Regions from separate parts of the Mus musculus genome. Here regions 1, 3, 4, 5 and 6 are each reported to be linked to region 2. The links are microRNA targets in miRTarBase. Many come from high-throughput screens and were not tested one by one. Region 2 holds a microRNA gene; each other region holds the end of a gene's coding sequence. Distances are between the middles of the regions.
The links. The annotated mature microRNA mmu-miR-3090-3p reads UCCCAGGUGACACCCUGACUCA and lies in region 2 at 2,943-2,964, opposite strand. An mRNA with a match to its seed (bases 2 to 7 or 8) in the 3' UTR can be bound and repressed. Matches are read on the target gene's strand: a 7mer-m8 pairs with bases 2 to 8, a 7mer-A1 pairs with bases 2 to 7 and ends in A, and an 8mer does both.

Region 1 (5,329 bases), not on the chromosome of region 2:
AAAACTCGGGGAAGTACACCTTCCCCGTGGGGCTCACGGTGAGCAAGGAGGACCTGTGGAGCAGGCTAGGGTGTGGGGGCAGGCTGGTGCCTAGGTCCAGGGCTCCTGGCTAGCGCCTGCTGTCCATCTCCCACAGCATCACTATGTGCCGTGTAGACTCAGCTCGAAGCCACTCATTGTCTTACACCTGGTCCTCAGGATGAGCTGCTCAAGGGCTCTTTGCTTCACCAACTCCCGAGAAAACTCCCACAGGTAAGGTGAACTAAGGTGGGTGGAGCCAATGTACACTAGACTCTCGTAACACCTGGCTTCTATTTCTTCTCTGCCCAGGCTGTACCTATTAGCACAAGCTTTTGGGGGTGTGAGTGTGGCTGAATTCTCCTCCCGCTATGGGCCTGGCCAAAGGAAGAAAATCTTGAAGCAGTTTGAACAAGGAAAGATCCAGCTGTGAGTACCAGGGAAACAAGATAGGACCTACTCTATAGAGTTGGGTTGTCGTTGGGACCCCCTAGTTTCCGAGCAGCTGATTTCCAAGAGGGACTTGGAACTAACCCTGGCGGAGTAGGCACAGGGGTGGATGTTTGTTCCTGGCCCTCAGCCCTACTGCCTGTGTTTCATCAGCCTTATCAGCACAGATGCTACTGCTCGAGGCATTGATGTGCAGGGTGTGGAGCTGGTGATCAACTACGATGCCCCACAATATCTGAGGACCTATGTGCACAGGTAAGGGGTACTTGGCAGTGGCCATTGATAGGCCACATTACGGATTCTTGGTCATCCTATGTAGGATCACCCTGCATGATGGTCATGTACAGTATGGCCAAGAGAGGCACTGTCCTGTCAGGTCTCTGGGCCAGGAGCCACTGTCCAAAAACACTCGTGCTCGGTTTCAGGGTCGGGAGAACAGCTCGAGCCGGGAAAACTGGACAGGCATTCACACTTCTCTTGAAAGTGCAGGTAAGATTGTTTAGTTCTTAGCAGACGTCATGGGCAGAGCCAAGCTGCTACAGATGCCGGCCTGATCAGACTCCTTCCCATGAAACGCCTCCCTTCCAGGAAAGGAAGTTCCTTCAGATGGTGTCAGAAGCTGGGGTGCCTGAGCTGACACACCATGAGATCCCCAGGAAGCTCCTGCAGCCGCTGGTTGCTCGTTATGAGACAGCCTTGTCTCAGTTGGAGAAAACTGTCAAGGTGAGGCCTTCTGCAAGTGGAGGCTCTGCCCTCGAAATGCCATCACACACAGGAGAGGGAGGCAAGCAGGAAGCAGCCTCATGCCATGGGAGGTGCCTCCTTTAGCATGATGTCTGTTGTCTCTCAGGTGTAGGGCTAGGGGGCTGTAGCTAGCAGTAGGGATGAAATGGTGCAAAGCTCGTTTTCCCTCCACAGGAGGAGCAGAAACTGAAGGCAGCCTAGATGAGAACAGGGCCCTGGAGGGAAGATCGTGCGAACAGAAGATAAGTTCCTTGGGGTTCCAGTGGAAACAACCCTTCTCCCCAGTGCCGTGGGCATCTGGTCGTCTTGGTTGATGCAGCCTAGATGGTGGCCTCGTCCTGAAAAGTAATGGCTCTCGGGTTGGACTGCTGGTGTCCAGTTGGTCTTGGGAAATAAGCTCAGGTGAAGCTGAAGGATGCCTTCTGGAGTGTGAGCAAACACTATGGTGACTGGACTGTGGTGATCAAAGTGCTTATACGTTAGCGTCTCCTGTCTACAGAGAAGCTATGGCGAGCCTGCCCCAGGCAAGTCACTGGAGCCCAAGAACAGGTTGGCAGCAGCCTTGAAGATACTTCCTTGGCTACTAGTCTTCAAGATTGTACTTTATAATTAGCCTCCCACCCATTTAAGTTCTTAAATGATGTGAGAGTCCTTCCCTGAATATATATAGTCAAGGAGAATTAGCGCTTACCTGTGCTTTTAAGAAGGCCTGTTTTTAAAAAGTCAGTGTATCAAAAAAGATAAACATTTTCATTTGTATTCAGAAAAAAATAAATGGATCACTTGAACCTATACAAATTCCCGATAGCTCCAACACAGCCACTTAACTACTCCTCTAACCCAGAACACCTAGGCACAGGCTACGGGTACTATCTTCAGGCCCTTGGAACTTGGATAAGGGGAAGCTTCCCACAGCTTTAACCAGGCCTCCCTCCCTTTTAAATTTCACATATATGAGTGTTTACCTGCATGTATGTCTGTATAGCATATATGCCTAGTGCCCAAGGAAGCCAGAAGTGTTTGTTGGATCCCCTAGAACTGGAACTACAGGCAGTTGTAAGCTGGATCCTCTACAAGAGCTTTAATTACTGAGCCATCTCTGTGTCCCTGTCCAAGTCCTTTTTAAATCTGAAGCTACCACAGCCCTGGCTTCCCTTACTGGTGCCTTGTTCCAGTTGCCTTGGTTTTGCCTCTTCTGTGACCTTTCAGAACATGCATTGCCCTAGACCCAAGCTAGCATCACTTTCTTTCTCACAGGATCAGACCCTTCCCCTACACCCAGAGATCTCCCAAACACTGTCTGCCAAGATTAGGTTAGTAAGATCATGTGCTGGCTTTCTATCTGAATTGGTGATACTAAAAGGGATAGATGCTAGGATAGCTGACTGGGTGTTCACAGTGTTAGAACAAGCTTAATAACTTGTAATTAGACCAAACCGATATATAAAGTGCATGAGGATTGCAGTTATGAGGTTTGGTTCATGTGTGTTGGGCCCAGGAAATGTTTTTCCAAAGCTTGTTTTAAGGAAATGCCTGTTTTCTAACAAAATCTTAGGTAGAGCCTAATAGTAGGAATAAAGTAGGCAAAGCCATTGTGGGAGGTTCAAGACTGACAACAGCATCAGGCATTTTGCAGAAGAGGTTAAAACTGGGGGAATAGTTTCCACAGAAGCACCGAAACAAACGTGGGCTCATGTCAACATTAACCCTGCCAGGTAGAAGCCACTGAAGCTACCCCACAGGAGGACACAAGACAGTGAAACATTTGGAGTAACTCACTCATCACACTATAGGGCCTGTTTGTTTCCCAGGCCTGTAGTGGTTACCTTACAGCTTTCTCTGCCCTGGACCATAGCTCTGTGGAATTTGCATCTGACCCTAGCCTCTTGCTGTGTGGGAGGTTGCTCACTGGGGAGTAGTACCCAAAACTGAGAGAGTCAAAGTAGCCGGTGTCATTCTGATTCTTTTTTTTTTTTAATGTTTATTTTGTTTGCATGTTTATTTGTGTACCATGTGTTTGCAGTCCATTATGGAAACCAGAAGAGGGGGACTGAGTTACAGTCAATTATGATCTACCATTTAGGTGCTGGGAATTGAACCTGGGTCCTTTGGAAAAGCAGCCAGTGTTCTTAACTGTTGAGCCATCTCTCCAGCCCATCATTGTGTCCCTTAAATCACAGCCTTTATGGGTAAATACTGATCTCTCACAGGGTAGTCACAGTTGATTTTTGAAAACAGCTGGTTTTTTTAAAAAAATGTTTGTTTACTGAGCAGGGTTCTCTGCATAGCCTGGCTGTTCTGGAACTTGCTCTGTAGACCAGCAGCCTTGAACTCTCCTGCCTCTGCCTCTTGAATGCTGAGATTAAAGGCCTGTGCCACCTTCACTCCTAGCCAGATACAGATGGTTTTAATGTGAGTTATTAGAGCTAGGATTTTCACAGACCAAAACTGAAAGATCTTGCTGATGAGAAGTCTGGTCTGAAGGTCAGACTTCCTTTTGAGTAATCAACATTGTGTTACTAATGCTTTCAGCATTTCATACAGTGAAATTTGATCATATTCACACACACACCCTTTTCTCCCATATCCATCCTTACTCTCACCTCCCCACCCATCTAGCCCCAAGGTTTTCTGTTGTTGTTTAAACCCATTGAATTGATTTGTATTATGGAGTGTGGTTCCTGCCCTGCAATGTGGTCAGCCTACTAGGGGTCACACTACCAAAGAAAACTGAGTCCCTCTTTCAGTAGCAGTAATAACAGTAGTTCCTCAGCTTATACAGGTCTTGTGCATGCCATCACAGTCTCTGTGAGTTCATATGCCTTACTGCTCTATTGTGTCTTGAAAGCATTTTCCCTTGAAGTTATGTACTGCCTCTGGCTCTTAAATTTTTTTGTACCCTCTTCCTTAAAGATCCCTGAGCTTGGACAGAGAGGTGTGAAATGTTCCACTTAGAGGTCAACACTCCACACACACACTCTCACTCTGGACTTGTTGAGCAGCTGTCATCTGAAAGCTTTTCTGATGAAAGTTGGCAGTACACCTACCTATGGGGATAGCAGTGTCATTAAAAGTCATTTTTTACCCTGTGCTCATTTTACCCTGTGCTCAAGCCTGTGACTTATACAGCCACAGATTCTTGGCTCCATTAACAGCACCTACTATTTCATGGAGTAAGCCTGAGATTTAATCAGAAAGTGGTTGAGCAACTAGGGAAGGCTCAGCAGTTAAGAGCATTTACTTGAATAGGGTTTGGTTTGGTTCCTAGAACCCACATGGTTTACAACTGTCTACAACTCCAGTTCCAGAGGCTCTAATATCCTCTAAGGGCACCAAAGGGCACCAGTTGTACATGGATATGTTGAAGAAAAAAATTATAATTTTCAAGGAAACGGTTGGTGCCTGGCTTGGTGGCCCACACCTTTAATCCCAGCACTTGGGGGCAGAGAACGGTGAATCTCTGAGTTCAGGCCAACCTGGTCTACAGAATGAGTTACAGGACAATCAGGGCTACATAAAACATATCTACAGAAGGTCTTTTAAAAGGCCTTTAATCACAGAAGAGCACATCAGATGCCATTACAGATGGTTGTGAGCCACTATGTGGTTGCTGGGAGTTGAACTCAGGACCTCTGGAAGAGCAGTCAGTGCTCTTAACTGCTGAGCTGTATTCAGCCCCAGCCATATCTAATCACTTGAATGATGTTTTGTTGTTGTTGTTGTTTTGCTTTTTTTTTTTTTTTTTTCTCGAGACAGGGTTTCTCTGTATAGCCCTGGCTGTCCTGGAACTCACTTTGTAGACCAGGCTGGCCTCGAATTCAGAAATCCTCCTGCCTCTGCCTCCCGAGTGCTGGAATTAAAGGCATGCGCCACTACGCCCGGCTCGAATGATGTTTTAAAACCGCTGAAAATTCCATTGTGTAAAGGTGCATTTTTTTCATCAGTTGATGGGCTTCTAGGCTGTTTCCATTTCCCGGTTATTGTGAATAGAGCAATTAACATGGAGAAGCAGCACCCTGGAGAAGTAGATAATAGAAGCTTGGGTATATGCCCAAGGATGTAGCTGCATCATGGGGTAACTTTATTCTCAACTTTTTGAGGAACTGCCATGCTGACT
Region 2 (5,329 bases):
ATTTCAAATTAGGCTTTCACGAAGGTTTTAGAAAACATTTTCAATACCATCTATCAGGCAAAAACTTGGGGTCGCTTCTTCGAGACAGGGCCCTCCACACCCAGGCTTGGTGCTTCTAAACATTGCCTCCAACAGGAATCACTCCCTGACATTGAAACAATTGGAGGAGCTTGGAGCCGGAGCTCAACTTTACTAGTGATTTAAAACATGCCCTTGGAAACCAAGTTAGCTTCCAGGTGGGAAGCAAGTTCCAGCAAATGGGAACAGCAGTTAAGAAAGCTTTCAGACAATCCTGAAGGAGCCAGACTTCAAAACACTCTTCAGGGTGAGGGAGATGGCTCAGTAACTAAATCGCTTTCTGCACAAGAAGAAGCAAGTGAATGAAGCGCTTTAGCACCCACATTAAAACATAGCTGGGTATGGTGGGTAATGTGTCTGGACCCCAGTGCTGGGGGTACACAAGGGGCGGAGACAGGAGGATCCCTGGGGCTCGCTGGCAGACAGCCTAGCTAAACTGATGAGAACCAGGTTCAGTGAGACGCCTTTTCTGAAAAACCAAGGCCCAGAGCTATTGAGAGAAACACTGGATGTTAACCTCTGACCTCCACACGGCTGTGCACACATGTGCACGTGCACCTGAATACACATGTGCAAACACATGATCGCTGTACACACACACACACACACACACACACACACACACACACACACACAATTTCTACCAGTAAGCTATCTACTCAGCAAAAAACAGGAAGAGACAAGATCTTTGAAAGAAACCTGCACCTTCCCCATAAAGTCAGAGATAAAAGAGTTCAGCCACTCAAAATTTGTCGTCTTTAAAAATGCCTTTTGAATCGCTAAATTTTGTCTGCTTGGTTGTCTAGCAACCAAGTGCTGAACAGAAACTCCACCCAAACACAGTGAAGCAGCACATTCAGTTCATCAGGCTATGTGCATGCATGTGCGTGTGTGTGTGTGTGTGTGTGTGTGTGTGTGTGTGTGCATGTAGTGTCATCAACGTCTAAGATAGAAACTTGCTTGCATACAAAGAAGAGAAAGTCTTGATTGTAGATGGTACAATGACATGGGAAGCGAGGAAAAAGCAACAAGAAAATGTGCAATGCGGGATGAGGGTATAGTTTCCACACACTGGGCTAAGGCACGGTTTACACTCTTAAGCAATAAAAACAAACCATTAAGCGAGGCCCAGCCCCGTCAGGAAGTGTAAAACAGTTCTTGAAGCTTTGCAGTCGCTATACAAACGCTTTTCATAAACTCTGCTTCCTGATCTTCATTAAATGTTAACATCAAGTTGCCATGGGGCAATTAGCTTGCCTCCTGAAATCAATAAAAAATCAACAATTTGGAAATAGTTGTACAGTAAAATAGTTCAATAATTATTCTCTCATAGTGTTGTGGCCAAGCGGTTCTAGGGTAAATTCGGTCCAGATGAGTTCCTGCTCCTTATGAGGAGAGCTGTGAGCAGATCGGGGCTTTGCTGAGAGACCTCCTCATCAGAATGGACTGCAACAGTAATGGACTCCCAGCAATGCCTTGGCGAGGGGCCCAGCACACAGGCAAACACAAGCTTTTAAGTGCTGTTAAAGTCAGCGTATGGTGTAGCACCTCAGAGGGTCTCCATTCAGAGTTTAGAGACCTAAACAAAATGATAAATCCATAGGGATTGGCCAAGGGGGTGGGGTGGGGGACGGTTGATGCTCTTGCCTCAGCATTCAGACTCTAGACATGAGCAAACGAAAATTCCTTCAGAGATGTGCATGCATGTGTGTGCATGCGTGCATGTGAACATGTGTGCTTGTTAGCATGTACGTGTGTATGCAAATATGTGTGCTTGTATGTGTGTATGTGCACATGTCTGTTCACCCACAGGGATGTGTGTGTGTGTGTGTGTGTGTGCGTGTGTGTGTGTGTGCATGTGTGTGTGTGTGTGCGTGTGCGTGTGTGTGCGTGTGTGTGTGTGTGTGTGTGTGTGCATGTGTGTGTGTGTGTGTGTCTTACACAACAAGATTGGTTGAGATTAAGAATATATTCATCCTGACATTTCTTCAACAAATATTAAAGTCTGTGTTGCTTCTAAGAGTTTCTGAGAGCCGAGTAAGGTGCTGCCCAAGCTACCCTTGATCCCCACAGGGCATTCTGCTAACAAGTGGCATTCATGCCAAGCAAAGCCAGGAAGTTATTTCTGTGCTGACCCTCTTTGCAGAGGGAAACCCATTTTTTTCCCTAGCTTAAGCCCATTCACATAAGCACTTTATTCCAAGCCAACTGCAAAAAAGATTCGAACTTCCATTAGAACAAACCTCCCATACCAGATTTGGAGTCCTATGCCACCCTCTAGGTTCAATGAACTTATACAGTGTACTGTCTTATAACTTAGAAAAAAGTCAAGCATCATTTTAGTATAAACAAATGCTTCAACCATACGACATCTACCCTCTGCCTTCAAAGAGATCCCTTTAACTCAGGTGCTTGGCACTAACATCACACAGGAGCAGCTCAGCACACTGACTTAAGTGTTCAAGTTTTTTAAAGTACATTTCTAAGGACTTGCACCTGCTCCCTCATACATATAGATGTACTGACACGCATTTGACTAAACTGACTGCAGCGTGCCCAAGCAAGCAAGCAGAGCAGATTTTACAAGATAAGCAACCCAGTGTTTTCATGTCTAAGAGTGGCTAGAACATAAGATTGCCACTCATCTTGTTGGGAAAAAGAATGTCTTTGAAAAAAAAAAAACAAAAAACAAAACTGCAGGGCACTGATTCAGATGCCATGCAACGCAGCTTTGCCTTCTGTTTCTTCTCATTTACACATGGCTTTTACACACGAAGGGGCTGTACTTGAGCCAGCTTCTGTAGCCATGATCGAAAGAACAGTCCACACAACCTTGCTACTCAAACTGCAGTCCTCTGGCACAGTGAGTCAGGGTGTCACCTGGGAGCTCATTAGAAATTCAGGATCTCAGGCCCCACCCAGACCACTGGGACAGGAATCATAGGGTGGCAGGACTCCACCACGTGGGCTGTACACACATCAAGCTTTTTTGCTTTCCTGGAGGCATTCCTGATGACTGAGGTGCCCGCTAAACTCTAACAAGTTTTATTTAGAACTTTGGCCCCTCAAGTTAGTTAGAAGTTCACTTTGAAGTTGGTAGGGCGGGGAGCTGGTGAGAAAATTCTGCCCTAGAGGATGTCATAAGGCTTTAAGATATGGTGGCGGGGTGAAGGAAAGAGGAGATGCAATTTATCCAAGTAGATGTGTGTGCCCTGCCCCCTCAACCCCACCCTACCTGTCCCTTCCCCTGCAAGACATAAAACAGAAAAGGAATAGTGCAGGCTGTTGTGACCTCCTCACATATATGCCGATCTATAACGCCGCCCCCCTCGCCCCCACAATATAACCATTCTTTACTGCAAAGCTCTCTTCCTTTGTCCTTTCAATCAAAAAGTAGGGAGGGGCTCAGCATGTCAGCACCCAGTGAATCAGTATCTTAACAGCAAGGCAAGTGACTAGAAATTTGCTAAGTGATTTGGCTCATTTTCGATAGTACAGATGAGTGTTCTCCATCTTAAAAAAATAGAGAGAACACCTGAACCACTCGGGGTATATACCAATGACATAGCTCCATTTACTGTGACGTCTCTCTCTGAACCTAAATGGAAATCAGAAGTGCGACCATCTACATATGTAACATAATCTTCACATAGCTATGTATAAATTAGAACATGTACACACTATATGCACATACATGTATGTATATACCTATATGTCACATGGGGCCTGCTGTGCTACAAGTAATTTTAGCCAAGAAAATCAAGACCAATGAAGCAGAAAATATGTACTGGATAGACCTGCCAGAAGGTGGGATCCTTATGGAATGATCGCACTCCCATCTGGAGGACTTGGAGATGTAAATATGTGGTTCATTCATTTTATAAGATGTTAAGATTGCAGTTTGTTACAGTGCCCATGGCAAGCAAGAGACATTAGAGAATGACTGAAGGACCAGGAGGACAAGGCTACCCATAGTTGGGTCTAATCGTTTCTACCTGTGCAACAACTAAAGGGATAAGGAACACATCAAAAGCTAACCAGGGTAGTCATTTAAAACAAGATCTTCAGAACCTTAAGGTTTCCGAAGGTAAGTGTGCTTGGGGTCATTGCACGGAGGTCCTTGGGAAGAATTTAATTATAACAGTCTGTCTTGCTGTAAGCACACCGCTTTCCAAGTCAGTTCTAAGGCACGGGTCAGGAGAGGAGGTGAGACCTGGGCTTCAACCATGACGGAGGGCTACAGGACACACACTCCGGAAACTGACCTGAAACCCTGCCAGGAACTAGCACTGGATTCCCCAATCTGCAAACAGCCACAAAGCCCTCCCTCCCTAGGTTTTGCTTCCAACCTGAGCACCAAAGCTCTGCCATCATAGAGGACTCACTTTCCAGAACCTCATCTGACTTCACTCTGTTTGAGCATCTGGCCAATTGGTAGATGTGCTGAGACGCTGATCAGACATTCTTTAATTTTTTTAGGCACTGTGGCCTCTGTTGTATGATATATCATCTCTGGAACTTTACCTTGGGTTCTGCAAACTTTGCTTTGATTTAGGCATTGGCTTTCTCTCACTCCCCCCGCCCCCTTATGAAAACTACTAACTCATTGGTAAGTCCTTTGGTCCAACTGGGGTTTGCTTAGAATTCTCCAACCATTTAAGTCATGTCCCCACCCCAACCTTGTCATCATTCACCCAAGAAATGAAAATGCAAACACAGGTAGACACTGCAAACACAAACAAACCATTTGCTCTCACGGGTTAGGTTTTATAGGATGAAATGCCAGAATTTTGATATTTATTATCTGAAATGGGTTTAACATTTGGAGAAATATGTTCAAACACATATCCCTGGAAAGAAAAGCAAGCTGACAGGTCAGAGAACAGGGTGCAGGCAGGAAACATATGCTCAATTTTGCTGCGTGTCAGGCAAATGTAGAAAATTGGGTGCTTTGGAGAATAGAGAGATTGCTGATAGGGTAAACACAAAATACAAGCCAATTTCTGCTTCTTTATGAGGGCCCACAAGATAATCAATTGTACACATATATGACTACAATGTTAATAAAGAAGAAATATTATATTTTATTTAGTACTTTGGCCAGATCAGCCCCCTGGAAGGGATTATAGGCTTAAGAAAGAACAAGATGCCATCATCACTTCCTGACATAGTCACAGTTTTCCTAATTATTCCCACTGGTCCTGCTTTGTTCTTGCTGCAGGGAGGGTGGCGAGAGCTTTTCTATCAGATC
Region 3 (5,329 bases), not on the chromosome of region 2:
CAGATCAACTAGAACATTCAAGACACTGTCCTGGAGCATTAAATGGTACAATCACTTTGGGAGGAAGAAAACACACAAGTTGCTTTGTTTTTATAAAATCAAGCATGATCCACCATATCTTCTACCATTTGTCAAAAAGAACATAATTAACAAAAGCTGCACAAAAGTGTTCATAATTGTTTATTTGAAACACCCCAAGTTAGAAACAGCCTGATGTTCATCAGCAGGGTGACTGAATGGTGGAACTTAAGTAGACTATGAGCTTTGGATAAACACAAGTTACAAGCGTCTAAAAATACGTTAAGTTTCTAAGATAGCTACATGAGCTAAGATTCCTTTTATATTATGTCCCTTGGGAGAAGGAATTGACTGGATATTAATTCCCTGGAGTCCTTGTAATATTCACGTTCTGGTCAGGAGTTCACAGCCATTGGTGTTTGTTTAAACTCAATTTCTGAGGTGAGGGTAGAGTGGTAGGTATAGTGTTTGCAGTGAGAACCCATGTTCAGATCCCCATCACCTATGGAGAGAGCTATGATACCAGTCCAGGGATCGCAGGGCTTGCTGCTTAGTGTAGTCGGCCTGGTGAGCTCCAGGTTAACTGAGACCTCATCTCAAAAAGAGGATTAGGGAATCGAGACAGCTCAGGGGGTAAAGGAACTTACTGCCAAGCCTGAACCCAAGTTCACTCCTGGTCACCCACCTGGTGAAAAAGAATAGACTCCTGGGGGTGGGGGTGCTGGAGAGATGGCTCAGAGGTTATGAGCACTGACTGCTCTTCTGAAGGTCCTGAGTTCAAATCCCAGCAACCACATGGTGGCTCACAACCATCTGTAAAGAGATCGGATGCCCTCTTCTGGTGTGTCTGAAGACAGCTACAGTGAACTTAGATATAATAATAAATAAATATTTAAAAAAAAAAAGAATAGACTCCTGGAAGTTGTCCTCTGTCCTCCATACACACGCCATGGCACACCCATGCCCACACATGCACACCCCCAACCGTGACCTCTACCCTCCATCTGCACACCTGCACAGACACAGGGAGGAATCCTGAGGTGCACAGGCACTTACCAACTTTACTTCATGTAAAAGATGGACAGTAAGAATAAGTTGTGTTAGCTAAGCAGTCCCAGCACACCGTAAACCAGGACGGGGAAGCCTGGAGTTCCAAACAGTCTGTACTACATTCAAAGTTCCAGGCCCTGTGCACACCGACAGTCTCTGAATTCAGTCCTGTTAGGTCAGGAAGACATGTACCCTGTCATCCATCCCCTCCTGAGGGGACCTTACAGTCTTTCTACCTCTTCTTCCAAAACATCTTAAACACGGTTCAGTTTTTAACATTCTTCTCTATTGCAATCAACTTGTGACTTGAAGTAGATATTTTCCCTTAAGTCCGTTTTAATTAGAAAGTCACGGTGTGCTGAAAGAAACAGATTGCACCCAGTGAGGTGTGCACCCTTCACTCCCTCACTGCTCTCAGTCTGGAAAGGCCACTGGTCCGAGTTCCCAGTGAAATCCACCTAACACATACCTGGTCTCTCTCTCTCTCTCTCTTACTGAAAACTGTCAGCAAGGAAGAATGAAGAATCTGGTGACCTGGGTTGAAAGTATTTAGGCACATTCTGCTAGGGGCTCCATCACTGCCCCCAGGGGGCCATGGTCCAGCAGCTTCCGAGCTCCCCTAGGTGAGACTGGGCTGTGTGAAGCTGGCCTATGGACCACATCTAGGATTCCCGGTAGGGAAGGAATAAAGAGCTGGTCTCTGAGAGTCGACTGCCTGCGCAGATCCAGGGTAGGAGGTCTTAAGCCTAATCCATTCTCAAGTGCCATGTCCCCTTCAGACTGTGAGTCACGAGTATCAAAATAACACAGAACTCTGAACTTCTTCCTCAAAACAATACCAAAAAAAAAAAAAAAAAAAGAAGAAGAATACCCCTTGCATACTAAAATACTTATTTTAATGAATTTGTTTTTAATACAAATGAAAAACAAGATTCTTACCATTTTAACTACAGTTAAAACCAGAACTGGTCAATAACATATTAATTTTGCAAAGTTTTTAACTACAGATTGTCAAATATATAATAGAAAATGCAATTTAGTGCTTTTTTGTCACAATATCAAAAATAAGCATTTTTCTCGTACGTAGGTTATCAAAAGTGCCACTCAAAATCTTTTTCTTAATCAAGTAAAGTATCTGCAAGTGTGCAAGTTTGCTAAAAATTAAAAAAGGAACCGTCAGTGCTATTATATAGAAAAACCCTGTTCTGAAAAACAAAACAAACACAAAAAAAAAAAACAAAAAAGGAAAACTTTATATATTGAATATCACTTAAGTGCTTCTTAACCAACCAAAAATGCCTAACACAGACGGCAGGCCCACGTCCTTAGGATGAAAGTCATCCTACAGAACTGTAATGTTGTAACATGGCAGTTATGCACCAAATCGAGCAAATAGAATCTATCACTTAGTATGTTTGCTTGCTTGCTTTTTACTTTGTCCACGAGACAGCAGGTTTAATGTTGTATTGTCTCAGTCAAGTAGTCTGCCACATAAGGTTAGGTTCTGTGGTTTACATCAAATGTGGGAAGACAGTCCTCAGGAGAGCTGAGCATTTTCACAGGAAAACAACTTTCATTTCAGATAAAACTAGAAATACACGCACATATCTATTGAGCAGAGATACCAAATGCAAACTTGCAAGAAGAGACAGTCAAATAAACTCGTGAAGCAATGATCGCCGGAAGAGGTGCAGGACACCGTTTCAGCCATGACAGTACTTTTTGTTCAGTCACAGAGACATGCCACCAGCCTGTTCAGACCAACTGAGTCAGGAGAAACATACAACATGTGAAGACTATCTCTCTCCAGCTGGTGACACAAAACAGCCCAGGTTCCAACCACAGGATTATTAACAATAAAAACTACACCGCTAGCCTGGCACGGTGGCCCGGACCCATAATCCCAGCACTTTGGAAGCTGAGGTAGAAGGTCTGTGGCCAGCCTGGGCTACAGAGTGAGACTCCTGTTGCAAAAAGAAAACAATACACACAAATTGTAACCCTGCTTTTCTAAGGAAAAAGTAGTTTTTAAAACAAGGGCAAGAAATAAACTTCAAACTGAGACTCATATTAAAAATAATGAAAAATAATACTTGAAACTAAAATAAATTTCAGGTTTTTTTTTTCAAGCCTACAGCACCCGGTATTCCCAGGCGGTCTCCCATCCAAGTACTAACCAGGCCCGACCCTGCTTAGCTCCAGAGATCAGACAAGATCGGGCGTGTTCAGGGTGGTATGGCTGTAGACAATTTCAGGTATTTTTAATGTGTGCAAGATATATAAAATAAATAACTGTATACACCAAATGTACACTATTAGTTTATTTTAGGTTAAAAAGTATTTAGGAAAAGTTCTCCATGTTCAAAATTAAATAGGAATCGTCTTCTATATACAGGAATTATACTGGAAATATGAAGTAAAAGTTTAATTCTGCAGAATTAAAACACAATTATAGTCATTCAAAAGGTAAAAAAAAATACTGAATTTTTTGTTAAATTCTTAGAATTTTGCAGTAACAAGTGAACTTTTTGTAACATTTAAAAAATTATTCTTTTATCAATATAAAACTATCCAAATAATTATGAGAATCTCTTACACCAGAAAAATAAATTCACATGATACACTCGTGACCCCAAGAGCTACGACCAGCAGAGCGAGCGGTGTCCCTGAACCAAAGCACTTCCTCTTTTGTCTCCTCCACCCTTACACATAAGCGCTCTCTCACATCATTCACAGAACCACGGGCACACTCTGAGAGAAGTAACTCCTCCTCCTGCCTCCGACGCCCAGGGCGACCCTCAGTCTTCTTTCTTGGCGTGTCTCTTAGCACCACCCGAAGGCTCTGCTCCCCGCTTCGATGCACTTGAGGCAGAACCATTGGAAGACGGTTTGACTTCAGTTTTCTTTTCACTCGATGAAAACTGCTGCTGCTGCCGCCGGCCAAAAAGCATCCGAGTCAGGGTGTCCTCAAAGGGAGTGAGAGTCACAGCAGTATCCTTTGTCATCATCATGGTTACCTAGGGGGAAAAATTAACTTTGAATTTCAGTACAAACACTTTTTGTTTCTTAAAACCGAGAGAGAAAAATAGTGGGCAAAGGGATTCAAATGTATTTTTCATTTAATCTGTAGGAGAAAAAAATATGGTAAATTCTGGGAAAAATCTCAGATCGCTAAGAATTTAAAGATTATTCATTAAAAATGTACCTGATACTGGTACACCAAATGAAGTATAACCATTACTACCAAAACTTAAAAAGAAAAAATAACAAGAGAGAGAGAAATAGACAGATGATAGACAGACAGACAGATAAGGAAGTCAAGGGAAATGAGATATAATCTTTTTTTTAGATGAGATATAATCTTATCTAGCATCTACACATACAGCCAATACAGCTATCATTACTATATGTCTGGCATGGGTCAGAATTGTAAATACTTTATACTCCTCTCTACTTTGAACTTAATGCAACAATTAATGTTGCCTTCATCACAGAGAGGAATAGTCACAGCTCTGACAGGTTAAGTAACTTGCCCCAAAATAAAAAGCAAATTGAATGGAAAGCAAGACACAATACAGACTTGGGTTCAACTACTACTTAACAACACACTCTGGCCAATGGTGCAGGCTTTCAGGAGCTGCAGAATATATCCCAAAAAGACACTACAGAAAGCATCCTCCCACCAATCTTTTCTGCTTGAATTACTTAAGTATAGACTAACAAAGACATCAGAATTTGGACTGAAAAGTGGTTCCAATCCTTTACCTCATAAATCACACTGCTCAGCAATGTCCAGACTTGATCTAGAAATGAGACTAATCCCCTAGTGGATATGCAGAGAGAACTCAGGATCTAGCTTAGTTTCAAAGCCCTAAGACTCTGTAACAGTCAGCTCTTCCAGATCACAGGGAAAAAAAAAAAAAGAATCAAACTAGAAACGTTTGCAATGACATCCCTAAAGGAGGCCCCTACACAACCCACTTGCTTGGGGTGCCTGATATCAAGAATAATGTATCATTCAGTGTGACATCATCTAGGGGCTGCGAAGTTACAAAGAGTGTGTGCCATGCAAGTTAAAGTAGCCAGAAATAATGGTAAATAATTTAGACCACGTCAGATGAAAAGGGCACAATATAATCTACAGGATACTAACACTACCACATATATAAAGCAAAGCTCACTTACACAGAACTTTGTGACGGTCAGACGGTCTGAAATGTGTACTATGAAACAGCTACTTTAATAAAAACAAACCCACCTT
Region 4 (5,214 bases), not on the chromosome of region 2:
GCACTCAAGCTGTACCTTAGTACCAGGAAGGACTCCAGACTTATCCTTGGCTAGAGTTAACTCCTTAGCTACTTAACTACTTAGCAACAGTTAATCAGCGCCATTAGTCTGTTTGAGATGTACTTAGTGATTATGTGGGGTCTTGTTTCAGATCACCCACTTGTCCTCTGCAAGTCATTCAGTTAGATACTTGGCAGGATGGGTACTCCCTCACTTTCTCCCATTTCCTAGAAAACCTTGTCCCAATGAGAATTCAGGGATGCTTCACCAACTGGTCCTGTGGATTGGTGTTGAGTAGGCCCAAACTTGAGTTTATAATAAAGAGACCCTAATGCGATTGCATTGGAGTCAGCTCCTGGTTGGTCTTTGGGGCTCTAGCACCTTCTGTTGCATGCTTGTTTGTTTGTTTATTATATGTAAGTAGCTGACTTCAGACTCAACAGAAGAGGGCGGCAGATCTCATTATGGGTGGTTGTGAGCCACTATGTGGTTGCTGGGATTTGAACTCAGGACCTTCGGAAGAGCAGTCAGCACTCTTAACCACTGAGCCATCTCGCCAGCCCCTATTGCATGTTTTAAGTTTGGTTTTGGTTGAGACTAGGTCCTGCTGCGTTTTTGCCTTTCATTGGATGTTTTGCTATCACCTCTTCCCACTCCACCCCCCTTTAAAAACATTTTAGTAGTATTTGGAGCATATAAAAAGTTGTACAGAACTTGTATAAAATTGTACAAATACTTACACATCTACAAATTTTAGTGGCTTGTCATGTATATTTTAGACAGGTTATTATAGGCATAGTATAGATTAGAAGAGTTTGCCAATGTTAGTATGAAACTAAGCAGAGCAATTCAAGAGAGGCGGAGAGGGAAAGGAGATTGAATTAGTTAGCCTAGAGAGGAGTTTGAGCCAGATGAGCTGAGTAGAATAGCCAGTTAGAGATCAGAAAGCCTCAAGCTGAAAACATTCTAGGCCTAGGTAAGATTGTACAGAGGCTAGACGTCTTCAGGACTAGGCCTAGGTTAGCAGACAGAGGCAGCAAAGCAAGCCTTGGAGATAACAATTGGTTCAGGAAAATAAAAGATAAATATCATAGGCTGTAGTGAGGTGTAATTAAACATTGTTAGCTATACCAAAATCCTGAGTGGCAGATTTCAAAGTTGATCAGATTTTTTTTTCTTCCCCCAGGATCAGACTTTTAAATTAAAGTTTATTTTTAGAATTATGCATGTAGAAGGTGTTGAGTGCCAGGCAGTTGCACACCGTCAGATGTGGGCTGTCTTCTCCAGCTGCTTTGGGTTTGGGGGGGGAGTTGAGGGACAGAGTCTTATCATCCAGTCTAGCCTGTGGAATTTGGCCAAGATAGGTCTCACTTGGCTAGAATTCAGGGCTGGCCTTGAACTTATTTCCAGAGATCTGACTGCCTTTGCTTTTTGAGTGCTGTAGTAAAGGTGTGTGCCATAAAACAATGTGTAGCCTAGGTTGGCTTCAAATTCATAACCTGCTTGCCTCCATATCTTTACCATAGCCTGTCAGCATGTGCCACAGAAGACATACAAGGATGAAGGGGAGGGAAATACACAGCTAAACAGGTTACTAATTAAAAATCTTTCTCTTGGCAGTGTGTCCAGCTGGCTGGAAACCTGGCAGTGATACCATCAAGCCTGATGTCAATAAGAGCAAAGAGTATTTCTCTAAGCAGAAGTGAGCACTGGACCATTTTTCTGCCAGGCAGCATTGAGCAGCCAGAAGAAACTCTTGTACTCTACTCGTGCTTAAACACATGATGTGGTGTGATTCCAGATAAGCCTTTCCTACAGGGCTGGGGATGGATAGCCTTTCTTCCACTATTGGTAATGGTCTGAGCTGTGTTTTGGGCAGACCAATCTTCTATCAGTCACAGAAAACAACCTGTTAATTCTTTTTTCTTCTTTTTTTAAGTATCTATTAAACGTGAATTCTGAGAACTTGGTGATTCATTCTTTAAAGGCAACATTGGAATTTTAAAAAGGACTTTATTTTCATGAGTAGGTAAAAGTGTTTGAGTGTTGTTTATCTTTTTTAAAAAGAATGTTTCCCCAGCATGTGTACCATTTACCTGCCTGTTGGATACCCTGGGACCATGTGGGTGCTGGGAATTGAACCTGGGTCTTCTATAAGAGCAACGGGGTTCCTAACCATTGAGCTGTCTCTCCAGTCTCTTAACTTTTGAGACAGGATCTCTCACTGATCTAGAACTTGATGTATATGTGAGGCTAGTAAGCTCTCAGGATCTACTTTTCTAGTGCTGGTTTTATAAGCATGGATTACCATAGTTGGCCTTTTGTTTTTCGAGACAGGGTTTCTCTGTGTAACAGCCCTGGCTGTCCTGGAACTCTGTAGACTAGGCTGGCCTCTGAAAGATCTACCTGCCTATTTAATCTGCCAGGAATTAAAAGTGTGTGCCACCACTGTCTGCTTCATGCCTAGCTTTTTTTTTTTTTTTTAAATGGGAGTTCCATGGAGTAAATTGCTTCCTCACAAGCATGTCACAGCTGAACTATCTCCAAAGCCCCTGTTTTTCTTAGAAAATTGGGTTTGAAAGGTTGAAAGGTGCCTCAGGTCTGGAGACAAAGCTTTTGGTAGAGTGCTTGCCTGGTATTCTGTTTTACTTGTTGCTGAACACAGCAACTAAAAAGTATCTGGCTTATACTTCCTGGTCACAGTCATACCTGAGGTAAAGTCAGGGTAGGACTTCAAGGAGGAACTGAAGCAGAAAATGTCCCACAGACCACTCTAATCTTGGAAATGTTTAAATTGAGGTTTCTTCTCCTGGGTGAATGAATAAATGAAAAAAAAATACTGTCAAGTTGACAGAAGTTAACTATTACGTTTAGTGTGCACAAGCCTTGTTATAACCCTATTGCCATGTAAACAAGGTGTGATAGTACACACCTGTAATCTCAGTACTAGTGAACTGAAGGCAAAAGGATCAGAGGTTCACCTGTGTGATGCATTAGGCCTGGTCTTTAAAGGGAAAAAAAGGCTTCAGTACACATACCCACACAGAAGAAAGTTTTTAGTTTAACAATATTTTAGATTGAAAAGCAGACCCAAGCCCTGCTGTCCTCTCAGCCATTGCACTGCAGTTCATGTTTGCTGGGTTATAGGCAAGTCTGGGAAAGATTTATTTGAGCTGTTTAGTGCTGGGAGGGTTGCATGGAACAGAATTTTTGCTTCTTAGGATAAATGCCTAGTGTCTGTCTGCTCTGCAAAATAAATAGGACTTGGCCAATAAGAAGTTCATTGGGTATCTTAGAGTTTTATTGCTGTTAAGAGACTCTGACCATGGCAACTCTAAAAAAGGAGAACATTTAATTGGGGCTGGCTTATAGTCATTATTTAGTCCATTATGGTGAGAAACATGGCACAGTACAGGAAGATATGGTGCTGGCTAAGGAGTTGTGAGTTCTAAGCAGAAAAAGATGTGTGTGCCACACTGGGTGTGGTTTGAGTATAGGACACCTCAAAGCCTGTTCCCACAGTGACACTTCACACCAAGACCACACTTACTGACAGTGCAATTACCTATGGCCGAGCAGTCAAAAACAGTCTAGGGACTGTGCCTACTCAAACCACCACATTAAAGATACTTGCCACATGGTGGAAGAAGAGACAATTGACTCCTTCCTACAAGTTGTCCTCTGACTTCATAAATGCACTGTGATATGCCTCTCTCCCACAAATATGAATGTAATCTAGGAGGAAAAAGGAATGACCACTGGGCCTGTCAAGTTTTAATCTCATAGATGAGTGCTAGATTAGGCTACATGGTAACACTTCGCTTGTTTGTAGACCAGAAGAATGTGTCTGACCTTTTGGGGCTGGAATGAGAAGCAGTTGTGAGCCACCTGATGAGGCAGTCTTAATTGAACTGGGTGCTTACTGAGCTTTGCTGGCCAATAAGCTCCAATAATTGTCCCCTTGTTCCCAGCAACCAAAGTATGGAACATTGGAGTTCTGGGCAGGGCACAGCAAAGTGCTTGAAAAAGTTATTAGGGCTTCTTTTTCCCTTTTGCCACTACATTTTTATATCACGGAATAAGTAACACTAACCTTGGAAATGTTACACCTACCAGTTTTCAGGATGCATTTTTAAGATTTACTATATACATGTTATATACATGTCATGTATACACATGGTCTCCCCGCACATATACCTGCGGGCCAGAAGACAGCACCAGGTCACATCATGTGATTGCTGGGAATCACTCAGGACTTCTACAAGAGTATCCAGTGCCCTTAACCTCTCTCCTTCCTGGGTGTAATTTCTTTCTTTCTTTTTTTTTTTTTTTAATAATTTATTTTAGTTTTTATTAGATATTTTTTTTCCATTTTTTATTAGGTATTTAACTCATTTACATTTCCAATGCTATACCAAAAGTCTCCCATATCCACCCACCCCCACTCCCCTGCCCACCCACTCCCCCTTTTTGGCCCTGGTGTTCCCCTGTACTGGGGCATATAAAGTTTGCAAGTCCAATGGGCCTCTCTTTCCAGTGATGGCCGACTAGGCCATCTTTTGATATATATGCAGCTAGAGTCAAGAGCTCCGGGGTACTGGTTAGTTCATAATGTTGTTCCACCTATAGGGTTGCAGATCCCTTAATACCCTCAGTAGTTTGCTTCTCCCTCCCTGTTGCAGGGTTTGGAGGGCGGGGGTGGATTCCTGTTCAAGGAAACATGATTGAGTCTGAGACTGGTCTGTCTCCTGTTTTAGTTTTCAACAAGTAAAAACAGCACATTACAATTTACCAACTAACCTCCCTGGACCCTGGGAGTGAAATTTGAAATATCAGAATTGGGAAACTATCTCTGGAATCAACAAACAGGCAAACAAAGTTGGTGGCTTTGGATATGATTGTATTCAACTACTTGTATTTTAGCTGTGATGAGAGAATATTCCTTTCTGATCCTGTAAAGTCAGGAAGTTTCTTCTGGATTCTTGGTTAGGGTTGACAAAATAATCCTATGACATCATGTCCTTCCAACATTCCAGAATTCAAAGTACATCTATTTGAGCATAAGTATAAGATTGCCTGAGCCTTTAGTAATAGCACACTGTAGGTCGGGGCAGTTTCAATGTAGTTTACTTAAATATTAATTCAGCATAGCTCAATGTGGTGGGTACCCCTAGGAGCTGCTAAATCTGTGATTCTCAGCCCCCAGGGGTTGTT
Region 5 (5,329 bases), not on the chromosome of region 2:
TACTTTGCAGGGAACACAGTACCTGGGCTAGTCATTTATAAAATTAGGAGCGTTGGTACATACTGGTATAAGCATGCTATATAATTTCTTTATTTTATGATAATTTTCTAAACTATTTGTATGCATGTGGGTGTGTGCACCTGAGTGGAGGTGCCTGCAGGGTCAGAGGTATTGGATCCCTCTGGAGCTGGAGTTACAGTCAGTTGTAAGCTACCAGATGTGGTTCTAACTCTGACTAATGCCAGAGCCGTAGGTGCTCTTAGCTACTGAGCTATGGCTCCAGCCCCAAAATAATGTATGCTTTAGATTACTGTTGTTTTTATGGTTATCACTGTGTGTGTGCATGATGTGTGAACGCAGGTGTGTGTATGCCACGTGTCTCATGTGGAGGTGAGAGGCATTGGTGTTCTCTTTGCTCCTTAACACAGAATCAGGGGATCAAACTCCAGTCGTCAGGTTTGCACAGCAGTGCCTGTTGGAACCATCTTGCCAGCCCCTAGGAGCTAAATCTTGCAGGAGCCAATTACCTCTCTTGGTTGATAGGGTAGCTTTGTTTACAATGAGGTCACATTACAATCCTTAACTAAAGCCCTCAAAAACACAGGAGATGCACTAGCTGGCTCCCCTACACCCCACTCTCACTAAATTCCTTGACCGATACTCGAACAAAACCAGAGAGAATTCGGTTTCTTATTAATAGAACAAAGAAGGGTGTGCATACGCCTGGATTCTACCTGTTGCACTTAGGTCAATAGCCAGGACCTGTAGCCAATCATATTCAAGGAGCAGAATGGCCTCAGCCTGTGAGATGAGGCACCTATGGAGGTTGGCACTGGATACTGTTCCATCTGTGCCTGGCTTCTGGCACTTGGGAGCCATCACTGGCCGCTATTCCACTGACTTCGGTCCTATGCTAACTTAACATGCTTGGGGAGGGGATCTTCTCCACACTGCCATTTCCATATCAAACTGATGCCACTCCATGGTCTACCCACTGCAGACAGAGCCCGTGCCACCGTTCTTGTCCCCATCCCATCAAGTAGGGCCAGCAACTGCAAAGCAACTCTGAAGTCAGACTTCCACCTGCCACCAGGTCCTTAAGAACAAGAAGGAAAGGCCTGTGAAGACAGCTCAGCACAATGAGTAAGATCTGCATTCAGACCCCTAATGCCCACAGAAAAGCTGGGCTCACTGGCACACACCTGAGGCCCGGGTGATGTGTGTGTGTGTGTGGCAGGAGAGAGCATGAGTTAGACCCCCAGAATCTGCAGGCTAGCAGTCTCATCAATCAGTGACCTGTGGGGAGAGACCCTGCCTCAGAATGCCAGGTACTGAGCAACAGAGGGGACAACCCATCATCAACCCCTGCTCTCCCTGTGCACACACAGGTATACACAGGTACTGGCACATGTGTGTGTGGACACTCACACACATACATGTGGACACTTACACACACACATGACTGGAGAAGACATCTTGGAGAGGGATCAAATATTAAGGACACATTCATGGAGATTCAGTTTTTCTCCCTCACTTTCTTTCTTTCTTTTTTTTTTAAAGTAGCCTTTTTCTTTATGTTTTCCTTTTTCTTTTTGTTTATATATTTTCTGGCCCTGCTTGCTCCGGCCTTATTTATTTTATAAATGTGAGTACACTATTGCTCTCTTCAGATACCAGAAGAGGGCACCAAATCCCATTATAGATGGTTGTGAGCCACCATGTGGTTGCTGGGAATTAAACTCAGGACCTCTGGAAGAGCAGTCAGTGCTCTTAACTGCTCTTCAGCCCTCTCCCTCACTTTCAACAAATGAAATAAGCCCGTCTTCCACCCTTATTTTATCAATAGGGAGACCCCACCAGATACAGGTCAATGTCCTATGTCATAGGGATAACCTGGCCACTGATCTGTATTGTGTTCTCTGAAACCACCCTCATAACAACGGGACCCCACACCCCTCTCACACTCCCTGTGAGTGGCAGCCCCAGCTCCTCAAATCAGTGTTAGTCCTTTCTCCTCAGCCCCATTCTAATGAACAACTCTGCCTAAGGCCAGGCATGGTGGCACACATGGCTACTCTACTGCCACGAACACCACCAGGTAAGGATTGGTCCCTGGGCTCAGATGGACTGGACAGCAGCAGTGGGGATGGAGGGACTGCGGCTTTGCTCTTGCCCTTTGCCTGGCAGTCATCTGGGAGCCCAAACCTGTGGCTCTGCTTGTCTCTGAGGAATGATCCTTCCAGGCAAGTGGGTGTCTGACTTACCCAAGTCCTTAGCGTTGTTTGACACACGTGTCGAGGGAACAATCCTATTCAGAGAACAGCAGTCAGGGAGAAACAATAGAGGGCTAGAGAGATGGCTCAGCGTGAGCGTGAGTGTGTGCGTGAGTGTGAGCGCTAACTGCTTGCAGAAGACTCAGGTTTGGTTCCTAACACTTACATCAGACAGCTCATACTGCCTATAACTTCAGTTCCAGGGAGCCCAATGTCCTCAGGCCTCTGAGGGCACCTGCACACACGTGGTACACACAAATAAAATAAAGATCTTCTTTTTTTAAAGAAGAAATAATAAGAGCCAACAGATGACTCAACAGATAGAGGCATTTGCCACCAAGCCTGATAGCCCGAGTTCAGTCTCTGGGACCCACATAGAGGAAGAAGTGAGCTGCATCCTGCAAACTGTCCTGACGAGCATTTATCAGCAGCAGCAGCAGCAGCAATGTGTTGTGGCACACCTGTATCTAAGTGCTTGGGAGGCAGAGACAGAAAGACTGCTGAAAGTTCAAAAGTTCAAGGCCTGCCAGTGTATACACTGAGATCCTGTCTGAAATAAATCAAAAGAGGAGGAAGAAAACTGTGAGCTTTCACAAGTGGACACACGTGCTTCGGGACTGTCCGCCCCTTCTGCTTAGACAGAGGTCACATCATCCCGCAGAACTGCAAGGGCACAGACAGGCACTAGCTCACCTGAGTGCCCCACGAACATTCAACCCCCAGTGTGGCCTCTCTGCATCTTCTGGCTACTTCGCCCACCTGGGCCACTTCCCCTTGGACCCAATCTCCTCTCCAGAGAGGACACACTGTGGAGCACGGAAGCCTGGACCTGCTGGTGTCTACCCTGCCTACTTGCACCTTATTGCTGGTCTAGTGTAGTAGATGTTTTCCCACTTCAAGGGTCAGGGTTTCTGCCTGGAGCATATTGGGAGGAAGCCGCTGCTTAACAGACTGACGGACACAGCATGGCACAGATAAGAGGGCGTGTGGACTCTGAGAGGAGACAAGACGCACTCACAGCTGAGTCACTGAACAGGACGAGGAGCACAGCGGCTTCCTCGCAAGGTCCCTGTGCAGCAAGGTCCCTGTGCAGCAAGGTCCCTGTGCAGGGAGCTGGTGTGAGCTGGCACGTGACTGCCGCCTCACCCCCCCAGGCTCACTCGGGCACCTGACAGATGGCGTGTATGCCGGCTGGGATTCAGATCCACAGCTGCCTGGTTCTCAAGCCCGTTCGTTTCTTTCTATACAGGTGGTCATCTGAGGGGACATCTCTCATGGGGCTGGGAGATCGGTGACGGGACCTCCAGAATAAATTAACTGCCTTCAGGGCAAAGTAAAAGAACAGATAGGCAAAAATGAGAAACACAGAGAAGAAGCAAAAAAACTCCAAATTCTCCCCAAATTGCATATCGTTTCTGTCTGGAAAAGCAGACATAAAAGACGCTGGAGACATGGCTGCAATGACGAGAACCACCTCACCAAATGTCAGTTACGATTTCTTGCTTTCAGCCAACAAGATCAAAGAATATTCCAGAACTGATGCTGTTCCAAGAGCAGAAGGCTTCTCAGTTCCAAGTGACTCCAGGGCAGCTAAGCGCTCGCCGTAAGCTCCAGACACTCAGTTTTGTTTCCTATACTGCAAGACAGAGAGATGAGAGACGGGTGAGGGAAGCCATGGGGGAGGGCTCTGTTGTGTCACACGGGCCTCTCCACGACTGCAGGGGTTTCTGGGAGGTGGTGAGACTCCATCGGGAGACCCTTCACCTTCACATCGAGTTGGTGCCTAGGCCCTCCTTCTTTAATGAAAAGGCTGGGAGGCCGAGGGCACTGGGACTAAGCATGGAACTCACCAGGGCTCGGCCTTATTCTGAATCTTGTTTGTGGGAGAAAAGTCCCAGGCAGAGGAGACCCTCAGACACCCAGGGTCCCCAGCCAATCATCGAGGCTTTCCTGCCTTTGTTTTGATTTTTCTGTCAGGGATAAGCCCCAGCGGCTTCTGCACTAGGCAAGCAGTCGACCACTGAGGTCAATGCCCTATCAAAATCTGTTTTTACAAAGTGGATTTTAAACCCCACATCTGGAGCGTCTGCGCTAGGACAACAAGGATCTGGGGGCACACTCCAGTTCTCCACATTCCTGGTGCCTTTATCCCACCTACAGTCTAGGTGTTGGTCCTAGACAGCAGCCTAGTCTTGATCAACTTCACACAAACTCGAGCCACCTGGGAAGAGGCACCCTCAGCTTCTACCGGATTGGCCTATAGGTGTCTGTGAGGTATTTTCTTAATAAATGGTTGATATGGAGGGCCCAGACTACTGTGGGTGGTACCACCACCAGGTCCTGGGGTGAATAGGGCAGCTGAGGGAGCCATGGGAACCAAGCCAGTTAGCCGGCTTCCTTTAAGGTCGGCTTTGGGGACCGGAAGGGGGGGTGGGGGGGACAACCATAAGAGATTATCTTCCTACCTAGGAGGAGTGCAGGTGCCTCTGTTTTCAACTGTGATGCGCGAGCGCCCCCTGATGGCCGAGGAGGTTACAGCATTCCCATTCCAGTGCCAGGGCCAAGCAAGCACTTACTTTGTTCATGATCCAGTCGGCATCTTCAATGGCTCTTTTAATAATCTGCTGGATTCTCTCGGAGTTGTCTTCATCTGAATGAACTTGGAAACTCTGTAGGTTTCAGCACAAACGGACATGGCCATGTGAAATCCAGAGCTTTAGAGAGCCCAGTCCCAAGAGACCGTGAGGCACTGGTCACCTAGCTCTGCTGAGGTGTGCTCATCCGGCCCACCCTGCTCTTAGACCACAGCTTTGGAGCCCTAGTTTATTTGGCAGCGGAACTGTCAGTGCAGCCCGCAGGGAGGCGAAAAGGAGACCCAGCCACTGGGCAGCTAGGTTATTTGGCAGGGCCAAGGGGAGCCACAATCTCTGGGGTTGATTTGCTCAGCACAGGAATCTACATCGATGGAAGTGTGCTGGGGAGGGATTGGCCTCGATGCCACTAGGTGCTGGTGCTGGGAGAGCAACGGGGAAGGGAGAGAAGGCACAGGGACAAAG
Region 6 (5,329 bases), 33 Mb from region 2:
CTGGTGCGGAGCAACCAAGAGGGCAAGGTGGGCTTCCTGCAGATCCCCAACCGCATCTGCGTAGCCTTGTCCCGGGCCAAGAAGGGGATGTACTGCATTGGGAACATGCAGATGCTTGCCAAGGTGCCCTTGTGGAGCAGGATCATCCATACCCTTCGAGAGAACAACCAGATAGGCCCGTCCCTCCGCCTCTGTTGCCAGAACCACCCTGAGACCCACACCCTTGTATCCAAAGCTTCTGACTTCCAGAAAGTACCGGAAGGAGGCTGCAGCCGGCCCTGTGAGTTCCGGTTGGCCTGTGGTCATGTGTGCACACGTGCCTGCCATCCATATGACTCCTCCCACAAGGAGTTCCAGTGCATGAAGCCATGCCAGAAAGTCCTCTGCCAGGATGGGCACCGGTGCCCAAATGTCTGCTTCCAAGAGTGTCAGCCTTGTCAGGTGAAAGTGCCCAAAATCATTCTGAAGTGTGGTCACAAACAGATGGTCCCTTGTTCAATGTCAGAGTCAGAGTTTTGTTGCCAGGAGCCTTGCTCCAAGATACTAAGATGTGGTCACAGATGCAGCCATCTCTGTGGTGAGGATTGTGTGCGGCTGTGTTCAGAAAGGGTCACCGTGGAACTTAAATGTGGGCACAGTCAACTGGTTAAGTGTGGCAATGTGGAAGATATAAAATATGGTCTGCCAGTCAAGTGTACCACCAAGTGTGACACTACTCTAGATTGCGGCCATCCCTGCCCAGGCTCCTGTCACAGCTGTTTTGAAGGGCGCTTCCATGAGCGCTGTCAACAGCCATGTAAGCGCCTGCTCATCTGCTCACACAAGTGCCAGGAGCCCTGCACTGGTGAGTGCCCACCCTGCCAGCGAACATGTCAGAACCGCTGTGTCCACAGCCAGTGCAAGAAGAAGTGTGGGGAGCTGTGCAGCCCCTGCGTGGAGCCCTGCGTCTGGCGCTGCCAGCACTACCAGTGCACCAAACTCTGCTCAGAGCCCTGCAACCGGCCCCCATGCTACGTGCCTTGTACCAAGCTGCTGGCTTGTGGCCACCCTTGCATCGGTCTGTGTGGGGAGCCATGTCCCAAGAAGTGCCGTGTCTGCCAACCAGATGAAGTCACCCAAATCTTTTTTGGCTTTGAGGATGAGCCTGATGCCCGCTTTGTGCAGCTAGAAGACTGCAGCCACATCTTTGAAGTGCAAGCCTTGGACCGCTTCATGAATGAGCAGAAGGATGATGAAGTTGCCATCAAGTTGAAAGTCTGCCCCATCTGTCAGGTACCCATCCGCAAAAACCTGAGGTATGGAACCAGCATCAAACAGCGGCTGGAAGAGATCGAGATTGTCAAGGAGAAGATCCAGGGCTCTGCAGGGGAGATTTCAACCAGCCAGGAACAACTTAAGGCCCTGCTGAAGAGCAAGACCCTCTTCCATCAGCTGCGTCCTGAAGAATTCCTAATACTTCAAGAGAAGCTGGCCCAGAAAAACCTGTCAGTGAAGGACCTGGGCCTGGTGGAGAATTCTATCCGCTTCTATGACCACTTGGCCAACCTGGAGGGGTCACTGGAGAAGGTGCATTGTGGAGAACAGCAGAGCGTGAGGACTCGACTTGAGCAGGTCCACGAGTGGCTGGCCAAGAAGCGCCTGAGCTTCAGCAGCCAGGAACTGAGTGACCTCCAGAGTGAAATCCAGAGGCTCACCTATTTGGTGAACCTCCTGATGCGCTGCAAGATGGCCGAGAAGGTGAAAGGCAGCATAGCAGAAGAGGTCTCCAGCATCCGGAACATTCTTGAAAAGACAAGTAAGTTCACCCAGGAAGATGAACAGCTTGTGCAGAAAAAGATGGATGCTCTGAAAACCACCCTTCCCTGCTCTGGCTTGGGCATCTCAGATGAGGAACGAGTGCAGATTGTCACTGCCATGGGTGTTCCTCGTGGGCATTGGTTCAAGTGCCCCAATGGCCACATCTATGTAATTACTGAGTGTGGGGGCGCCATGCAAAGGAGTACCTGTCCCGAGTGTCAGGAGGTGATCGGTGGGGAGAATCACACTCTAGAGAGGAGCAACCACCTGGCCTCTGAGATGGATGGAGCCCAGCACCCTGCCTGGTCGAACACAGCCAACAACTTCATGAACTTTGAGGAGATCCACAGGATGATGTAGAAGATGGCACCTCAAGGCCTTTTGCCCTGCCACCTCAGAGCCAGGGTTGGCTCCTCCATGGAGGAACCAGTTTATTAGTGTCCTTTAGTCTTCGCACTTGTCTAAGGATCCACTTTTAGGGCTTGCCCACATGTGATTCTATATGTACCCTGCGCTAGAGTAAGCACTTTACCCCCAGCACTGAGCAGAGCCCACAGTTCTCAGCTCCTCGACTGTAGCAAGTAGGACTGACTCCTGGGAGCTTCCGGCCTCCACCCGGGGATATTAGGGTGATTGGGTCCTGGCATGGCCAGCACTTCTGCGCGTGCCCAGGGTGCACTGCTTCTCATGTCCAGGCCCTAACTTGCATACTACCATTGTAATAACAGCAACCCAGAGAGAGCTTTAGGAACCACTTTACCTTCAAGGAGCACAAGAACCCAGGCACCCTACTCCTTGGGCTCCTGCCCTCCTGGAGATGGAGGCCTGTGACAGGCACTTCAACTCTCCATGGCCCAGTTATATACTCACTGTCCCCAGTGGGGCGGGGCTTTCACAGCAGACACAAGCTGAGTGACCCCTGCACCCTCGTCAAACTTGCACTCAGATAGCAGGGGTGGATGTGTCTCTCTGCAGGAGAGGTTCTGTGGTGGTGGTGGTGTCAGCAGGTTCAGTGTCAGCAGCACCTCCTGTGAGTCTTTATCCAGGCACCCTCCCTTGCAGCCTTTGCCTGGGTAGGGTTAGCATGCCAGCAGCTTCTGCAGGCCCCGACTCCAGGCCTACTGCCTGCATCTGCATCTCTTTCCATGTTCCTTAGAACAGATTTAGGCATCTCAGGTCCTTTCTAATGTTGTCTAGGAAAGCCCCTTTCTTATTGTATGCATTTCCTTTTTTTGTCTTTACTATGCACTTTAACCTATAAAGCCAATTAATAAAAACAATGATTGAAAAAAGCCTGTCATCTCTTATCTGTGCTTGCTTTGTTGCTGTATTGATAACTGATGCACCTAAGGTTTCAGCTGTGTCCAACAACCATCACCATCCTAGACCCATGGTTTGTTTCTCTTCCTAACTTTGATTAGCAATTGTGGGTAGGGCACAGCCTATGGTGAGGCATGTCATTTTTGGTAGTGGAGGTCATTTAACTGATGAGCCAAATTTTACCCATGGTAACATTCTCTAAGTACAGCAAATGTCTCCTGAGTCCCGAGACTACACTGCTTGCTGTTCCTAGCACATTCACTGTGCTTGACCATGCGGTGGGCATTGGTGTCAGGACACTAGGGAGGGGCTGCGTTTCTCCTTCCACTGCCTGGGTCCCCAAGATGGAGCCCCGGTCAGTCTTGCCTTTGTTGACTAAGACTTCTCACCGGCCCCATCTTTTAACATGGAGATCTTCCCACCAAAGGCAGAGCCAGGTCTGACCCACAGCCCAGCAGCAGGTGAGCTTTGACTTAACACAGAGCCCTGAGCTGGCAGCTGTGAGCAGGGCATGCAGCTGGAGAACAGGCCCTTTGCAAACGGAGGTAAGGCAGTCTAAACTCACCAGATAGACTACTTGCATTTAATATGTGTAGGGAAGCCAGTCAGGAAGGGAACCCTGGCACAGCAGTGCGTACCTGTAACCCCAACAATCTCTACAGTACCACAAATTGGAGGCCTTAACAGCAGGCTCCAAGCTAGCCTGTGCTACACAGTGAGATGCTCACATTTTTAAAAAGGCATGCATGCATAAATGACTAACACTAAGAAACAGCTCCTAGATACTAACCCAACAGATTCACAGACAACAGGCTTGTTCAAGAAGGTCTGCTGTTCTTAAAGATTTTATTTATTTTATGTATGTGAGTACACTGTAGCTGTCTTCAGACCCATTAGAAGAGGGCATCGGATCCCATTATAGATGGTTATAAGCCACCATGTGGTCGCTGAGAATTGAACTCAGGACCTCTGGAAGAGCAGTCTGAGCCATCTCTCCAGCCCCAGGTTTGGGGTTTTATATATGGAAAAAAACCAGACCAAGACAAGATGACTTCCCACAGGGAAGGGATATAAAATTGTCCCACCAACTTCTTCACACCACTGAGACTACTTCTTTCTCTTGTACCTATTAAGGAAATCAATATTATAAGTACTGCCTCCCACCCAGCCTGCCTCTCCGCCCATGGGTACTGCCTCTGCCCTCTACAGTGCAACATCACCTGGACTTAGATTTGAAGTTCCCTCTCCTCTGGCGGGGCAGACCTGACTGTTTCCTCTCTTCAAAGGAAGGGCTGTAAGACAGATGAAGAATGAGATGGGTAGGCTGTGGGACACGTGAGGGATGTCACCCATATTGGCTTCACAGGCCAGCCCAGGTGGGATGGGTACCCTGAGGGGAGTGCAGTGCCTGGGATTCAGTCTCCTGTGGGCTTGTGCAGAACAATGTGCAGTTCTGGAAGCCAGACACCAATTTCACATCAGTGGGCAGAGGCTTTTTGAAGTTGTCTGGATGAGGGGGCTTATGGAAGCACACTAAGTTCTGCTCTGCTCATCATTACAGCATTGGGAAGCGCTAGGCAAGAGGCAGAGTGAGCGAGCATGGACAAGGGTGCTTTCGTGTGAGCGGCACTTTAAACCTACCCAGCCCGATACTGTTTCAGGGCCTTCTTGCTTGTGTTGGTGAGTTCTTCATCAAACACAGACTTCTGCTGCTGCTTCTGCTTTTTAGCTATACACAGAGAAAAATGGGTCAGAGGCTACTGAGTTCCCTGACACTGAGGGAGAGAATTCCAGAATCCATGGAGGGCCAGGTTCAAGGATACATCCCAGTTCCTCCAAAGCTTGATCACTGCCATCCCTGCCAGCTCTTGCCATGGTGCGAGCCTCAGAATGGACACCCTATCACTTACCAGGGCCTGTAGGCTCGTCCTCAGGCATTGCCCGTGCTCGCTTGGTTCTGCGATTCCTCTTGGCCAGCCGCTCTGCAAACATCTGTGCCTTGAGGATTTCAAACTGGGACCTCTCCTCTGCCTGGGGGCAGAGTGAGGGATGAGCACAGAACACACCAGTGCTTCATGGGACCCTACTCCACAGGGAGGCCACTCACCGTCATCTCCCCCTTTTTCTTGGCATCCTTCATAAACTTCTTCCTTTTCTTCTTTCCTCTTAAGGCCAAGTCAAACTCCTGTAGAGCCTTAGCAACTAGAGTGAG

Region 1: miRTarBase lists Ddx51 as a target of mmu-miR-3090-3p. Seed matches in the 3' UTR shown: 7mer-m8 at 3,310-3,316.
Region 3: miRTarBase lists Tmem38b as a target of mmu-miR-3090-3p. Seed matches in the 3' UTR shown: 7mer-A1 at 3,216-3,222 and 7mer-m8 at 2,896-2,902.
Region 4: the mRNA of Prdx1 is a reported target of mmu-miR-3090-3p. Seed matches in the 3' UTR shown: 7mer-A1 at 2,112-2,118 and 7mer-m8 at 2,141-2,147.
Region 5: miRTarBase lists Lyrm9 as a target of mmu-miR-3090-3p. The part of its 3' UTR that is shown has no 7-base or 8-base seed match.
Region 6: miRTarBase lists Ddx27 as a target of mmu-miR-3090-3p. Seed matches in the 3' UTR shown: 7mer-m8 at 4,118-4,124.

The regions. Positions count from the first base shown.
Region 1 is chr5:110,656,195-110,661,523 of GRCm38, forward strand. Ddx51 (DEAD box helicase 51) reads left to right here. Exons shown (of 15, transcript NM_027156.3): 9 at 1-38; 10 at 137-252; 11 at 331-447; 12 at 622-723; 13 at 894-957; 14 at 1,057-1,191; 15 at 1,387-4,302. The coding sequence ends at 1,413. Among named protein-coding and RNA genes, the nearest start is that of Ddx51, 5.4 kb to the left of the region's middle.
Region 2 is chr2:133,562,395-133,567,723 of GRCm38, reverse strand. It overlaps Mir3090 (microRNA 3090), which reads right to left and starts at 3,016; the gene lies at 2,930-3,016. Bmp2 (bone morphogenetic protein 2) reads right to left here. Exons shown (of 3, transcript NM_007553.3): 3 at 4,828-5,329.
Region 3 is chr4:53,858,638-53,863,966 of GRCm38, reverse strand. Tmem38b (transmembrane protein 38B) reads right to left here. Exons shown (of 6, transcript NM_028053.2): 6 at 1,949-4,085. The coding sequence ends at 3,867. It also overlaps LOC115490001. Among named protein-coding and RNA genes, the nearest start is that of Tmem38b, 35 kb to the right of the region's middle.
Region 4 is chr4:116,697,551-116,702,764 of GRCm38, forward strand. Prdx1 (peroxiredoxin 1) reads left to right here. Exons shown (of 6, transcript NM_011034.4): 6 at 1,621-2,450. The coding sequence ends at 1,706. It overlaps Mmachc (methylmalonic aciduria cblC type, with homocystinuria), which reads right to left. Exons shown (of 4, transcript NM_025962.3): 4 at 4,884-5,214. Among named protein-coding and RNA genes, the nearest start is that of Mmachc, 8.2 kb to the right of the region's middle.
Region 5 is chr11:78,837,703-78,843,031 of GRCm38, reverse strand. It overlaps Lyrm9 (LYR motif containing 9), which reads right to left. Exons shown (of 4, transcript NM_001076681.2): 3 at 4,850-4,942; 4 at 1-3,909. The coding sequence ends at 3,892. Among named protein-coding and RNA genes, the nearest start is that of Lyrm9, 14 kb to the right of the region's middle.
Region 6 is chr2:167,033,553-167,038,881 of GRCm38, reverse strand. Ddx27 (DEAD box helicase 27) reads right to left here. Exons shown (of 21, transcript NM_153065.3): 17 at 5,225-5,319; 18 at 5,028-5,148; 19 at 4,759-4,846; 20 at 4,338-4,409; 21 at 3,937-4,243. The coding sequence ends at 4,225. Znfx1 (zinc finger, NFX1-type containing 1) reads left to right here. Exons shown (of 14, transcript NM_001033196.2): 14 at 1-3,089. The coding sequence ends at 2,157. Among named protein-coding and RNA genes, the nearest start is that of Ddx27, 21 kb to the right of the region's middle.